Linked DNA regions of Danio rerio. The protein of the gene in region 3 interacts with the protein of the main gene of each other region in a pairwise test. Links are inferred from orthologs where the notes say so. Each region holds a gene or a part of one and is shown on either strand. Other genes may lie near its edges.

Evidence for each region.
Region 1: the proteins of agtrap (region 3) and pdhx interact in binary tests that used the Homo sapiens proteins (3 or more experiments, as listed by UniProt). The two-hybrid records come from large-scale screens. The link is inferred for Danio rerio from reciprocal best matches to the Homo sapiens genes AGTRAP and PDHX.
Region 2: the proteins of agtrap (region 3) and ndrg4 interact in binary tests that used the Homo sapiens proteins (3 or more experiments, as listed by UniProt). The two-hybrid records come from large-scale screens. The link is inferred for Danio rerio from reciprocal best matches to the Homo sapiens genes AGTRAP and NDRG4.
Region 4: the proteins of agtrap (region 3) and pitpnc1b interact in binary tests that used the Homo sapiens proteins (3 or more experiments, as listed by UniProt). The two-hybrid records come from large-scale screens. The link is inferred for Danio rerio from reciprocal best matches to the Homo sapiens genes AGTRAP and PITPNC1.

Annotation. Positions count from the first base shown.
Region 1 is NC_133200.1:40,153,115-40,155,365, forward strand, and holds part of pdhx (pyruvate dehydrogenase protein X component, mitochondrial), read right to left. Parts: intron 2,036-2,251; coding exon 1,877-2,035; intron 1,425-1,876; coding exon 1,360-1,424; exon of another isoform or gene 1,268-1,359; intron 1,207-1,267; exon of another isoform or gene 1,123-1,206; intron 1,022-1,122; exon of another isoform or gene 918-1,021; intron 1-917.
Region 2 is NC_133200.1:14,278,394-14,281,893, reverse strand, and holds part of ndrg4 (protein NDRG4), read left to right. Parts: intron 1-972; coding exon 973-1,035; intron 1,036-1,138; coding exon 1,139-1,199; intron 1,200-1,287; coding exon 1,288-1,431; intron 1,432-2,952; coding exon 2,953-3,056; intron 3,057-3,148; coding exon 3,149-3,205; intron 3,206-3,283; coding exon 3,284-3,335; exon of another isoform or gene 3,336-3,500. UniProt on the Homo sapiens protein: Contributes to the maintenance of intracerebral BDNF levels within the normal range, which is necessary for the preservation of spatial learning and the resistance to neuronal cell death caused by ischemic stress.
Region 3 is NC_133186.1:18,167,959-18,172,058, reverse strand, and holds the start of agtrap (type-1 angiotensin II receptor-associated protein), read right to left. Parts: upstream 2,801-4,100; 5' UTR 2,668-2,800; coding exon 2,641-2,667; intron 2,142-2,640; coding exon 2,107-2,141; intron 1-2,106. UniProt on the Homo sapiens protein: Appears to be a negative regulator of type-1 angiotensin II receptor-mediated signaling by regulating receptor internalization as well as mechanism of receptor desensitization such as phosphorylation.
Region 4 is NC_133191.1:13,816,464-13,819,442, reverse strand, and holds the end of pitpnc1b (cytoplasmic phosphatidylinositol transfer protein 1b), read right to left. Parts: intron 1,502-2,979; coding exon 1,350-1,501; 3' UTR 501-1,349; downstream 1-500.

The DNA.
Region 1 (2,251 bases), on a different chromosome or scaffold from region 3:
AAACTAAATCAAACATGGAGAGTCTCAAAACCCCTTTTGTATGAGGAACTACTTTCTTCCGCCTTGGATTCAAATCATAAGCTGACAGTGAAACAGCTGAGCAAGCATCTTTTACACTTCAGATGTGGAGTGTCTGCTTTCTGCTGGCTGTATGTGGGCGGAGTAATACACAAACCGTAAAGAGGCTGTAAGAGTTCTGATATTGCAGAATATCGCACGGCTTTCAGCCAATCAGATTTGAGAACCAGACAGAACTGTTGTGTGTGTGTGTGTGTGTGTGTATATATATATATATATATATATATATATATATATATATGTATATATATATATATATATATATATATTAACAGTTAATTTGTCTGTATTACTATATGTTGTAATTATAATTGCCAGCACTTTATGATTTAAAAACAATATTTTACTTACTATAAATTACTCCAGTGTTTAATGTGGGAAATCATTAATAAAAAAGTTATTAGAAATAAATGCTATTCAATCACTGGAGTACAAGATTAATATAGTGTTCTACATTCATTAAAAGATTTGCATGACATATAAAGATCTATTATATACATATTAACTGGCTCTTTTCCCTTCATTATAATGAATCCTTCATATAAATGAAACCTGTCCAATGTAGATGGTGTATATCTCTGAAAACAGCAGTCAGCAAATAAATATCTGCTATACTGACTCTGACATATAATAATGACGACTGATGGAAAACTCTTCACACTGTTATATTGAATGGCGATCAGAAACATTGATCCCCATTGCCATATTTGTGAAATAGTAAACACTATTGTTTATTGTGTACGATATTTATTAACAATATACATATATAAATATATTGATGATGATGTCTGTCATTAATAACATTAACATCAGCTCGTAACCATCTATGGTTTGCATAGATGGTGTGTGCCTGAAACGTGTGTGGCTCTGCCTGAGTGTTTGCTGCACTGGCAGAGTTTGACCAGCAGGTGGAGCCAGCAGCTGCTCTGAACACTTTGGAACGGTAAATCATTGATGAAGTGATCAGTTTCATTGATCAAAGCTGTAATTAAAGGAAACAAAAATCATCCTGTCATCATCTACACTCTGTTCACTTCTCCACAGCTGTTTGAGTTGCTTTTGTTGATGTTGAAGACAGAAGAAGATATTTTGAAGAATGTTGGAGACCTGTAACCATCGACTTCTACAGTAAGTGTTTTTCTCACTACAGACATCAGTAGATTCAGCTTCCCTATAATATCTGCTTCAGTGTTCAACAGAGGAGACACACTGCTGACGGTCCAGAAGCTCCTGAGTAAGTGAATGCTGATATGTGGTGAACGACACCGTGCAGACGCTCACCTGAAGGATCCTCCCTGATACTCCTCTGGCAGGAGTTTACCATCCCGAGCCTTCTGTGCCAGAGCCTACACACACACACACACACACACACACACACACACACACAGGAGGTCAGCACACAGCAATACGACTGTCTGAGGTATTGGGCGTGGCTAACACACTTAACCACGCCCCTCCAGCTGTCAGTTTTGTCATCGCTATGACAACAGACAGAATGGTGAGGAGGAGGAGTCTGTTAGGCTGTAATAACTCTCCCCAAACCCTTCTGCCATCTCTCTGAATGACACGCCTACTTTACTACAGCCAATCAGCTCGCAGTAGAACAAACAAGCCACGCCCACTGTTTACCGATTAAATATCGTGTTTCTATGGTAACAGCAGCACAATAAGGGTAAAACCGCAGCTCCCGGCTCATGCAGACTATAGGATTCTGACGTAAAGCAGATGCTGGACCTCCTCACTCCTCTGTGTGTGTTGTTGAGAGTGAGGAGCACATGTGTTCGGGCCTGTTCTTCACCTTAGCGGTGCTGGAGATCTCCTGCAGGCCTTTATCCGCCGCGTCTCTGATGATGGGCGTGATCAGGCCTCGATCCGTCGCCACCGCCATCGAGATGTGGATGAAGCCCAGCGGCTGCGGCCCGTCAGCAGACCACGACACGTTCACTGCAGGCAGCTCCTGCACACACACACACACACACACACACACACTGTTTATTAGAGATGACCCATACACATCAAGTCCCGCCTCCAAAACAAGCTCCTCCCTCAAACTCAGGCAGTAATCAGCCAGCACACGGCTCTGATCATCTCCTCAACAGACTATAACCACACAGCTCATCCTGCCTGAGGAGCTCTAGTGTGGAGCACACATGCAGTATAGATCAGAGTAGTA
Region 2 (3,500 bases), on a different chromosome or scaffold from region 3:
TATATATATATATATATGTGTGTGTGTGTGTGTGTGTGTGTGTGTGTGTGTATGTATACTACACCCATTTGTAACAGCAACTTGTGCTCTAGACCAGCTTTTAACAGCAGATGGCGCTCTAGAATAGTTTTTAATGGCACATGGCATTCTAGTTTAGTTTTTACAAGCAGCTTGTGCTCTAGGCTTGTTATTAACAGCAGATGGAACTTTAGTTTAGTTTTTAACAGCAGTTGGTGCCTTAGTCTAGTTTTTAACAGCAGATGGCACTCTAGATTAGTTTTTAAAAGAAGATGGCACGCTAGATTAGCTACTAACAGCAGATGGCGCTCTAAGTTAGTTTTACCAGCAGATGGCGCTCTAGTTCAGATTTTAAGAATAGCTACACTCGAATGCTCAGGAGGAAGAGTTGCATTCCAGTCATGCAAGTTGGCTTTGATGCCATGCGATCAAAGACATGAACGCTCATTATGAACACTTGTAATTCACTTAAACCTTTCCTAACTTTAATAATTATTTTAGGTTCAAGTGGTATTTGTATGGAATTGCAGTGCAAGCAGAGTATGGCAGTTTGTAAGCCATACAGCGCCTTCTGCTGTTAAGAACTAAGCTCAAAGTCTCAGAATCGATTTTTCAAACAGTTTTACACAGCTCTACTAAACACAAAGTTACCATGAATGTGCCATGAAATATTGTGTGAGGTATATTATTCCCTCATAATCGGAAATAATGTTAGAATCTCCACTAAAGAGAGAGAGAGTCCATTACGAAACAGCAAAGCCATGGTTAATTTGTGGTCACCATGGTTTTATCTACAGAAGCCATGATTTATTTGTAGTAAAATCTTGCTTAATTTCTGAAACAGACAGGATGGTGGATAGATATAAAGAAATATTTGAGCACTAAATGTTGACCAGTTAGATGTCATGAAATATCAATGAATATATAACTGTTTATTTATGTTGTTATTGCTAGATATCAGTATCCCACTATGGATCAGCTAGCTGGGATGCTTCCTAGTGTGGTGCAACACTTTGGGTAAGAGTTGTTTGATTATATTCAAAACAATGAGCTATAATAGTAAACCCATTCCTTAAATGTCCTTATTTAAATTAGTCAACTCTCTCTCTTTTCGTTTTAGCTTCAAAAGCATTGTCGGAATTGGAGTTGGGGCTGGAGCCTACATCCTGGCCAAATTCGCGGTTAGTACATCTCCTCCTTTTACTTTACTATATTAGTTTATATTATTAATTATTTACATTTAATGCAATTCTGCATGTCTACTCGCAGCTGATTTTCCCTGATCTTGTGGAGGGTCTGGTTCTGCTAAACATTGATCCCAATGGAAAAGGATGGATCGACTGGGCTGCCACTAAACTGTCAGGACTCACCAGTACTTTACCAGACACCGTACTGACCCATCTTTTCAGCCAGGTACAATACTAGCCTACATTGCTTTTTTTTTTTTTTAAATAAAGTCAATTTAAAGGTGGTTGGGATGAAAAGTAAAAGATGTGTTATGTATCTACAGAAGACACACACGTAAAAAGTCTTTCACTTTAATTATGATTTATATAACAAAAATTTTAGTTATTCATATTTAGATTTAAAAGACTCTTTTAATGAATTAAAAAATTAAAGGGTATTCATCACTCTCCCTCAAATGCTTCAAAACCTGTTTGACTTTCTTTTTTCTGTTGAACACATAAGAAGATATTCAAAACATGCTTGAAACCGTTAACCATTGACATCCAGAGAAGGAAAAACAAATACTATGGACGTCAGTAGTTACCGGTTTCAAACATCCTTTGGGATCAGAAGTAGTAAGAAACTCAAACAGGTTTGTGACAAGTAAAGGCTGAGTAAATGATGACAGAATTTTCGATCCCACTTTATATTATGTCATTAACTATTATGTACTTGCATCAAAATATAGGCAATATAGACAAAATAAGTGTAATGTACTTAATGTGTTCATAAAGTATTGCAGAACTTGTCTTGTGCTATTGAGGTGAGATATGGGTAAGGTTAGAGGTGTGTTTAAAAGTGGATTAAGGTGTATGGGATGGTCAAAAATGTAATTCTAAATGTAATTACAGAAATGCAGGTATTTAATTAAGGTATACAGGTATTTAATTAAGCATAAAGGTTCAAACACACCAGGATGCTTCGTTTGCGTTTATTGTCAGCATTTTCGAGACGTTTTTCCGCATTCAAACCCAAGCGATTTTTCACTGGTGTCTAGCAGACACCAGTACACAACTTTAAGCCTCTTTAAGCAACTTTAAGCATCTGACACCCGCTTGTAACACAGAAAAAGAAAGTTGAAACGCTTGCTGTTAAAGTTACTGGCGATTAGAACAAGCATGTGTGGTTCAAGTAGCAGCTCTAGCGACGAAGAAATTATTATTATTCACCAGTGTAATAAGCAGCTCCATGCTCATATCGCTTCTGGGCATCTTCGTCAATGTGCGCTGGCATTGACAGTTTTGTGCTTGAGCGCCTCTAAGTGCTGTTTACTCTAACTTCAGCAGTTTGTGCATGTGTACAAAAGTGCTAATCTGATTGGTCGAGAAGGTTTTGACGTGGCACGTCAAAACAAAAAAATTACCATGAGGCGTTTCTTTAAAAATGGCGCTTTTACGCCTGGTGTTTTTGCGCGTTAGTGTGCACAATGTCATTGGCACCCTTTATTTAGTCAAGAGGCATTAAACGTCATTGGAAAACGCAAGCAAAAAGTGTCCTGGTGTGATTGGGCCTTAAGTACAATGTAAAAACCTGTATTTACACAATAAGTACATAGAAACAAATTATTGATTTCAGTGTAAGTACATATTATTTAAGGTCACAATATAAAGTGGCAACAAACTTTCAGTTTTGGGTAAACCATCCCTTTAAATTTAGGTAGAATTCTCAATACTGACCTAAAATAACAAAATTGTATTTGAATGACAGGAGGAGCTTATGAGCAACACAGAAGTTGTGCAGAACTACCGCCAGCAGATCAACAACACCATCAACCAGTTCAACCTGCAGCTCTTCTGGAATATGTACAACAGGTAAACATTCACCGCCTAATTAATCTGCATAAAATGATAGAAAATGCATTAAGAGAATAAAAGTGCTTATTTCAAAATGTTTTCCCTCTTAGCCGCAGGGATTTGGAAATGAACCGCAGTGGCTCTGTGATAAATGCTAAGACCCTCAGGTGAGGAACTAAATTAATTAGACTTTACCTAACTGTACCTCATTGTTCAGGCTGAAGTTTGAACTGTTTTTCTTGCAGATGCCCAGTCATGCTGGTAGTTGGGGACAATGCTCCGGCTGAGGAGGGGGTGGTGAGTTCTGTTCATCATCCTTCAGAAGAAAAGAGAAAGTTAAAACATTAACTACAGTAATAGTTATTACCATACACTTAAAAATTTTGTTTAAATATGCACATGACATTATTAATGTTAATTTAAGTGATGAAGGATTTTGAAATTCTAAAAGTAAACAGAGAG
Region 3 (4,100 bases):
GCTGCTATTTGGGGATTTCCGCCTGGATTTTGCCTACCCAAATTTAAAAGCTTTTCAAATCCACATAAAGAGGTGTAAATGCAAAAATTTGGTATAATTTTAAAGAAAACCCTTTGAATTTTCATAAAACACTATTGAAAGTGTTTAAAATAACTGTATATGTTGTCTGTGTTATAATAAACACCTAAAAAAAAGAGGCGCTTTATGTTTTTTTTTTTTTAAATCTAATTTGAAAGTGTACCTTTTAGGTTCTGTGTGGTCTAGCGTGCTGTAATTAATTTTAGTGGTTCCTGCACATGTCTAAAAAAAGAAAAAAGTCTCTACCATAATCTATGCAAAAGTTATTGCATTCCAACTAATGAGAGGTGCTGTACAAGCCACAGGGACCGATCATTGTTTTCATATTTCACTATTCTTTTGTTTGATCAAATATAATTCACTGAGTTTGGACCACATCAGACATATAAAAGGATTACTTATGCACATCACCTCAAAAACAGAGGAGAATGGCCCTGAAGGGCACAGCATAAGGTAAGAGATGACAGCTGTCTGTGCTATCTGGGGCTGCTTATTGATCATAAATGTATTGTTTACATTTCTGCGCCATGGAAACACCACAATTCATTCAACAACTGTTTGGAATATGAATATAATTCAGTAAAAAGAATGCTAGAACTGAATGAGCACCGGCAAGAGATTTCAATTGAGCTATAACTTGTGACATGTGTCATATAAAAAAAAATATGAAAATGAACAATGTAAAATACCTAGCTGGGGTATCCAAAATACTGTGAATTTAAGTGTAAATAACTTTTATACAGTAGAATGAAAACCAAAGTGATGCATATGTTGATAAAATCTAGATTCTACACTTTCAAACCACACCACTTACGGGGGTCTGGTGCAATGCTAGCCCTTTAAATCTGAAAGCGAAAGTCGATAACATTCACAGACTTTAGCATTCATTTAGTTGTTTAGGTGTAAAACAAGATGAAAGACCGTTGTAACCACTAGGACTGTCAGTAGCAACAGGCTACGCAGACACTTAATTGAAAATACTGGGTAAAAATAAACTGTCATATTTTAAAGAAATGGCGGGAGGAAATGTAATTTAATGCAATTCTTCTTCTGTTATATCTAACAGGCAGTGAAGATTGCTGATTTTTAAAGAAATCAGATCTTAAATGTTACAATTTTGTAATGAAAAAACAGTTTTACTGGAAGCCCTTGGGCTGCCTGGCTGAAAATTAAAAGTCTGTGTGCAAATACCCTATATAGCCAATATATTTATATCCATAAATCCCTAAAATCTATATCCATTAAAATAAGAGATTGGCCACCTAATTTCTTTAGTAATAGAAAGCTAATACAACTAAATTCAAACATTAAAATAAAAAACCCAAATTCTAACTAAATTCTCTCTTTTTAATGTTTTAAATTTTTCCTGTTTATTAGAATTGTGTGCAATATTTTTCCCAACATAATAAATTGGCCTGTACATATTTATGGACTGTTATCTGTCATTTTTATTTAATTTTGTTAGATTAGTTTCAGTTTTAGCTAATCCAATCTACTGTATATGCTCAAATATATAACTGTATAGCATCCTACGGATTATATTAATTTCAAAGAGAGATCTGTGAGGGGCGTACTCATTTAAACAATGGCTATGGAACTAAATATTTCTTCAGTAATTTAAACTGATATGTAAAAATGTATTTAGAAGTAATTCAGTTTAAAGAAGAAAATATTAAATATTAACTATTTTTTGAACAGCTGAATTAATTTGATTGATTTGCCTCCTCGAAAAATGCACACAGTATTAATGAAATACTTTGACCTTTAACTGAAAGTGTAAAGCTTCCACTATATTTAAAATATGCAAATGGGGGATATTTGAAAATATGTGCACTTTAGTCACTTTTTCAATGTACTACTACTTAAGAAAAACAACTGTATGTTTAGGTGTTTAACAGATATTTAGAAAGCTTCAATTTGAAGAAGAAATATTTCTGATGAATAGAAAACTGGAAGATAAACATTCACCGAAGGTGAAATTCCTCAGGTTAGTGATGAAAAACAGCAAAAATGTGCCATAACTCTCACCAAACTGTCAGTATCCAGTGAACCAACAAAATGGCCTGCAGAGAGAACACATATAGTGCAGTTCATGAGTAAATGCACACATATAGTATATTATTTTCTAGAGACAGTGTGTTGCTGCACTTATAATGTGGGGTATTTATAAAACAGAAAATGTGTTATGGTCAGCATGCTTTGAACAAATTCTGCTTTAAATCAAAAGAAAGAGCAAGGATTTCCTTGTGTTTCCATTCAGAATGTTATTGTTTCCTCGCTGCACCCTCACAATAACAACAATCAACTTAATGTAAAAGCTTGCTTGCAGTTATAACAATAGCAGTTACTGATAAATTCTTTAAGAAAGTGATCTTTGAAGCCTCCCATTTGGTTTCATAAAATGTAGACTCATTTTTAAATGACAAAACCACAATGACACCACAATGACAAAACTTTTTATCTTTAAACTTTTAATGGATACTTTACCAATCAAATAATTATTTGATAATGAATAATATCAATGTACTCACTGTAATGCACAAATGATTGAAAATAAATTACCTTCAGATTTATGGCTGGTATCTCCATATTTTCACTGCCTGTTCAGAATTAAATGGTCCTATGTAGTTTTCAGTATTTCACTAAGGAAGCATGAAACACTTTCATCATAACTGTGTGTAGAAATTTGTGCTGTTCTGAAGTGACTGCAAACACAAACCATGTGACTTCAGCCTGACAAGTGTCATGTGACTACACCTCCCACCTCTGCTCATTACTCCTTCAGAGCATATAAGCACAACTAGAAAACCTGAAACAGAGTGTTATTTTAACATTAGATTTTTTTTCCTACAACAACATACAGCTAAGCGATAAATTTACATTTTTTAGGCCTAATGATACTGGAATAAAATTATAAAAACCCCATAGGTCGGCTAGTGTTAAGTAATTTTAAAATGGTAACAGTACAATTGTTTTTATTATAGATATCAAATTTATGATTTGTTTATCACAGAAAGATATTTCCAGGAAAGTTTTTTTACTCAGAAGACAAATAAAAAACTTAAAACCAGCTAAGAGATCTTTTGTATTTGAATATATTAAGACTGCACAGCTACCTTTGGATGTTTAAGAAAACAAGTTTCTTGCTATGGTATGAACTTGCCAGCTAATATGAGATTGCAATTAACCTATTTTAGTTTTAATTAATCTTCACACATTACCTTATTATAGCTATTCTTTCACTTCCACTGTTTTCTTCCTTTTATCTGTTTTCTGCTACAGAAGGATTCTTCAGCTACATCAGTCAGTTATACTCTAGCTGTGTGTGCATCTTTTTAGCATAATATTGACAATTTTTATTCATTGACAGAATATTAACAAAATACAGTAATAAAGTAGTGGGGCCCGAAGCAGGGACATACATGAATATTTATTTTGTCAATTTCCATTCCAGAAAATTTTATTGTGTTTACAAAAGCATTTATGGACCACAAGTTGTTTTTCAACAAGGTAATTGATTTTCAGCATCAAACAATGTTTGATGAAATTGTTTCATGTGTCAAAATTAATCCACGATAAAATTCATTCATTTTCTTGTAGGTTTAGTCCCTTTATTGATCTGGGTCGCCACAGCGGAATGAACCGCCAACTTATCCAGCAAGTTTTTACACAGCGGATGCCCTTTCAGCCGCAACCCATCCCTGGGAAACATCCACACACACATTCACACACACACTACGGACAATTTAGCCTACCCAATTCGCCTGTACCGCATGTTTTTGGACTGTGGGGGAAACCAGAGCACCCGGAGGAAACCCACGCGAACGCAGGGAGAACATGCAAACTCCACACAGAAACGGCAACTGAGCCGAGGCTCGAACCAGCGACCCAGCGACCTTCTTGCTATGAGGCGGCAACACTACCTACTGCGCCACTGCTTCGCCCACGATAACATTCAATAACTAATTTGCCAGAGGGATCTTAGGCCCTGTTGACACCTGGTATTAAGCTGTGTTTTCGCC
Region 4 (2,979 bases), on a different chromosome or scaffold from region 3:
ATGAACGGCCTAGTAGGAGATACTGTACGTTTGTTTTCGAGGACAGATTAGTATAACAGTTTCTTAACCAGTATTATAAACCTAATTCATACATTTAAACCAGAGTTTTCCTTTAAAAACGTCCTGCTGTTATCAGTGAGCCATGAATCTTCGAGGCCGCTGAGAATCCACCGGTTGTATCCTTTATTATCTGGAAAACGAAGGATGCATTTTGAGGCTGCATTTGAAGGAGCCTTCGGATTTTTTTAAAATGAGACCGCCTTCGTAGCTCCATGATGACAGAGCGCCCTTCAAATGCATCCTTTGAAAGATGCAGCCTCTGAAATGCAACATTATTACCTTGCCTGGCTAACATCTATTGTTTTCCATACGTTGCAAAGCGATGCGAACATACAGTGAATGGCATAAACTCATAGTAAACATTGTTTAGAATGTGAAAAGTCATGGCACTTCTCCTGTTAACTTTTGTAAAAATTTGATATTGACCAGTGTGGTGCATATAATGTCATGCATTCCTTAGTAAATTTATTATAAAAATATACAATGAGGCACTTTCAACATTACTTTGTTTGCTTGAACAGCTTAATCAACAAAACTGGCTTAACCAGAGATGCAAGTTAAGGTCAGTTTAACTATTTCTTCAACAAATGACAGAAAATACCAAATTCCCTTTTAATCCTTAAAAACCAAACCTAAACAGAGACTAACAGAGAATGTGGCATGAAGTGACAGATGATGGATGTGATATCAATGTCAAATAATGCATAATGCTCAGTCTGCTGTTGTCTTTAGTCTTATCTCCCAAAGTACTATTGATAAAGTTCTCACGATGTGCTGCACGACTAAACAATCAATTATGTTCCATCAATGTATTGATACAGGGTCAAAGGTTAGTCTCAATATCCCGTAAGCCACTAGATATTTTGGCTAGTCACTTTCATTCGCCGTGATCCATATGAGGGGGTTTCACCGACACTGTCTGCTGGTTGTTTCATTATGTCAATAGAGCCTCTTCATCTTCATTCTGTGCTCGGATGAATATGTGCATCCATTCATGTTCATAGGCTGGTGAATAGACCATTGGTTGAATGCATTTTGTAGAGACTGTCTTGTCTGGGAGAAAATTGAATGGTTTCGCTCCAGTCTGTTTAGACATAGTACCTAACGTTCTTTAGTAAGGTGCTTTTGTTAATGTCATCCTCTGCATTAAACACAGGTATGCAGGGAATGGTGAGCAGAAAGTGACGATTGTGTTTTCATTTCAACCAGTTTTTTTCTAGAAGAGACAGTCCAAGTGGAGAGATATTTGGCAGATGTCAAGGTGGTATTGGCAGTGGTCATTGCAGGTGTTATTCTGGGGTTGATTTTAATCTCACAGGACCCTTGAGGGAGGACTGAGAGCTTGGAATGTCTAGAGTCGTAACCCCCATCTTTTTCAGTGACGATTCATCCGTAACAGAGATGGAGCGAGTGAAGCTGGGTCGAATTGCAGGATCAGAGCCTGAAAAAAGACGAGACAATCAGTTTTTGTCACAAACACGTGCTTGATTTAGTGTAACGTTACATGAGTTAAATGATGTTTGATGAGTCATGATGACTTGAAAATTAATAATGAAGTAGCATCTTATAGCAGTGGTCAGGAACCTTTTTTCAGCAAAGAGCCATTCCTGATTTTTTTGGCAAATGCATTTTTTTAAAGAGCCATTGGGGTGTGTATGCTGAGCAAGTCGTCAAATGTTGTTTGAATTTACATGCGCAAGGTTACCATAGCAACATAAGTTGTTTGCCCTTTAAATTGGTGTCCTGATTCAAGATAATCTACAGCACCACACACGCGCTTTGGTCGAAACGCCCTTTAATTGTTAATTATTTAACAATTGTTAATTAATTATAGTTCTTATTCATTTTGCTGTAAAAATAAATAAATAAAATAAAATACAATGCAAATTGTTCTTGTATTTTCAATAGGACACTGAAAGATTAAAATTCTTAAACTGTATGTTATTAGGGCGACACCTGGAGAGCCATGTATTTTTGGTCAAAGAGCCACATGCGGCTCAGGAGCCATAGATTCTCTAGATTCTCTACCAGCTTGACCAGCCTAGCCAGGCTGGGAGCCCAGCCAAAACCAGCTATGTCCAGCTTAAACCAGGATTGTCAAGCTGGTTTTAGATGGTTTTAGCTGGTCCCTCTCCAGCCTGACCAGCTAAGACCAGGCTGGAAATGACTGGAAACCAGCCTGGAAGTGGCCAAAACCCCTTTAAAACCAGGCTGGTCGATCAGCTAAAACCAGCCAGCCATCCTAGGCTGGTTTAAGCTGGATTTTTTAGCAGGGCAAACATTAGGCATGCATATAGATTGTGCCTACTATGCTGCTGACAAATTTTACCTCACATTCATTGTTCTCAGTCTCTTACTTACAGTGGGTACGGAAAGTATTCAGACCCCCTTAAATGTTTCACTTTTTGGTATATTGCAGCCATTTGCTAAAATAATTTCAATTCATTATTTCCTCATTACTGTACACACCACATTCCATATTGACAAAAATACAGAATTCTTGACTTTTTTCTGCAGATTTATTAAAAAAGAAAAACTGAAATATTACATGGTCCTAAATACTCAGATTCTTTGCTGTAACATTCATATATTTAACTGAGGATTTGTACGTTTCTTTTGATCATCCTTGAGATGGTTCTACACCTTCATTTGAGTCCAGCTGTGTTAGATTATATTGATTGGACTTGATTAGGAAAGCCACACACCTGTCAATATAAGACCTTACAGTTCACAATGCATGTTAGAGCAAATGAGAATCAAGAGGTCAAAGGAACTGCCTGAAGATGACTGTTGACTGTTCTTGAATGGCCCAGTCAGAGCCCTGACTTAAACCCAATTGAGTATCTCTGGAAAGACCTTAAATAGCAAACGTTTACAATCCAACCTGACAGAACTGGAGAGGATCTGCAAAAAGATCCT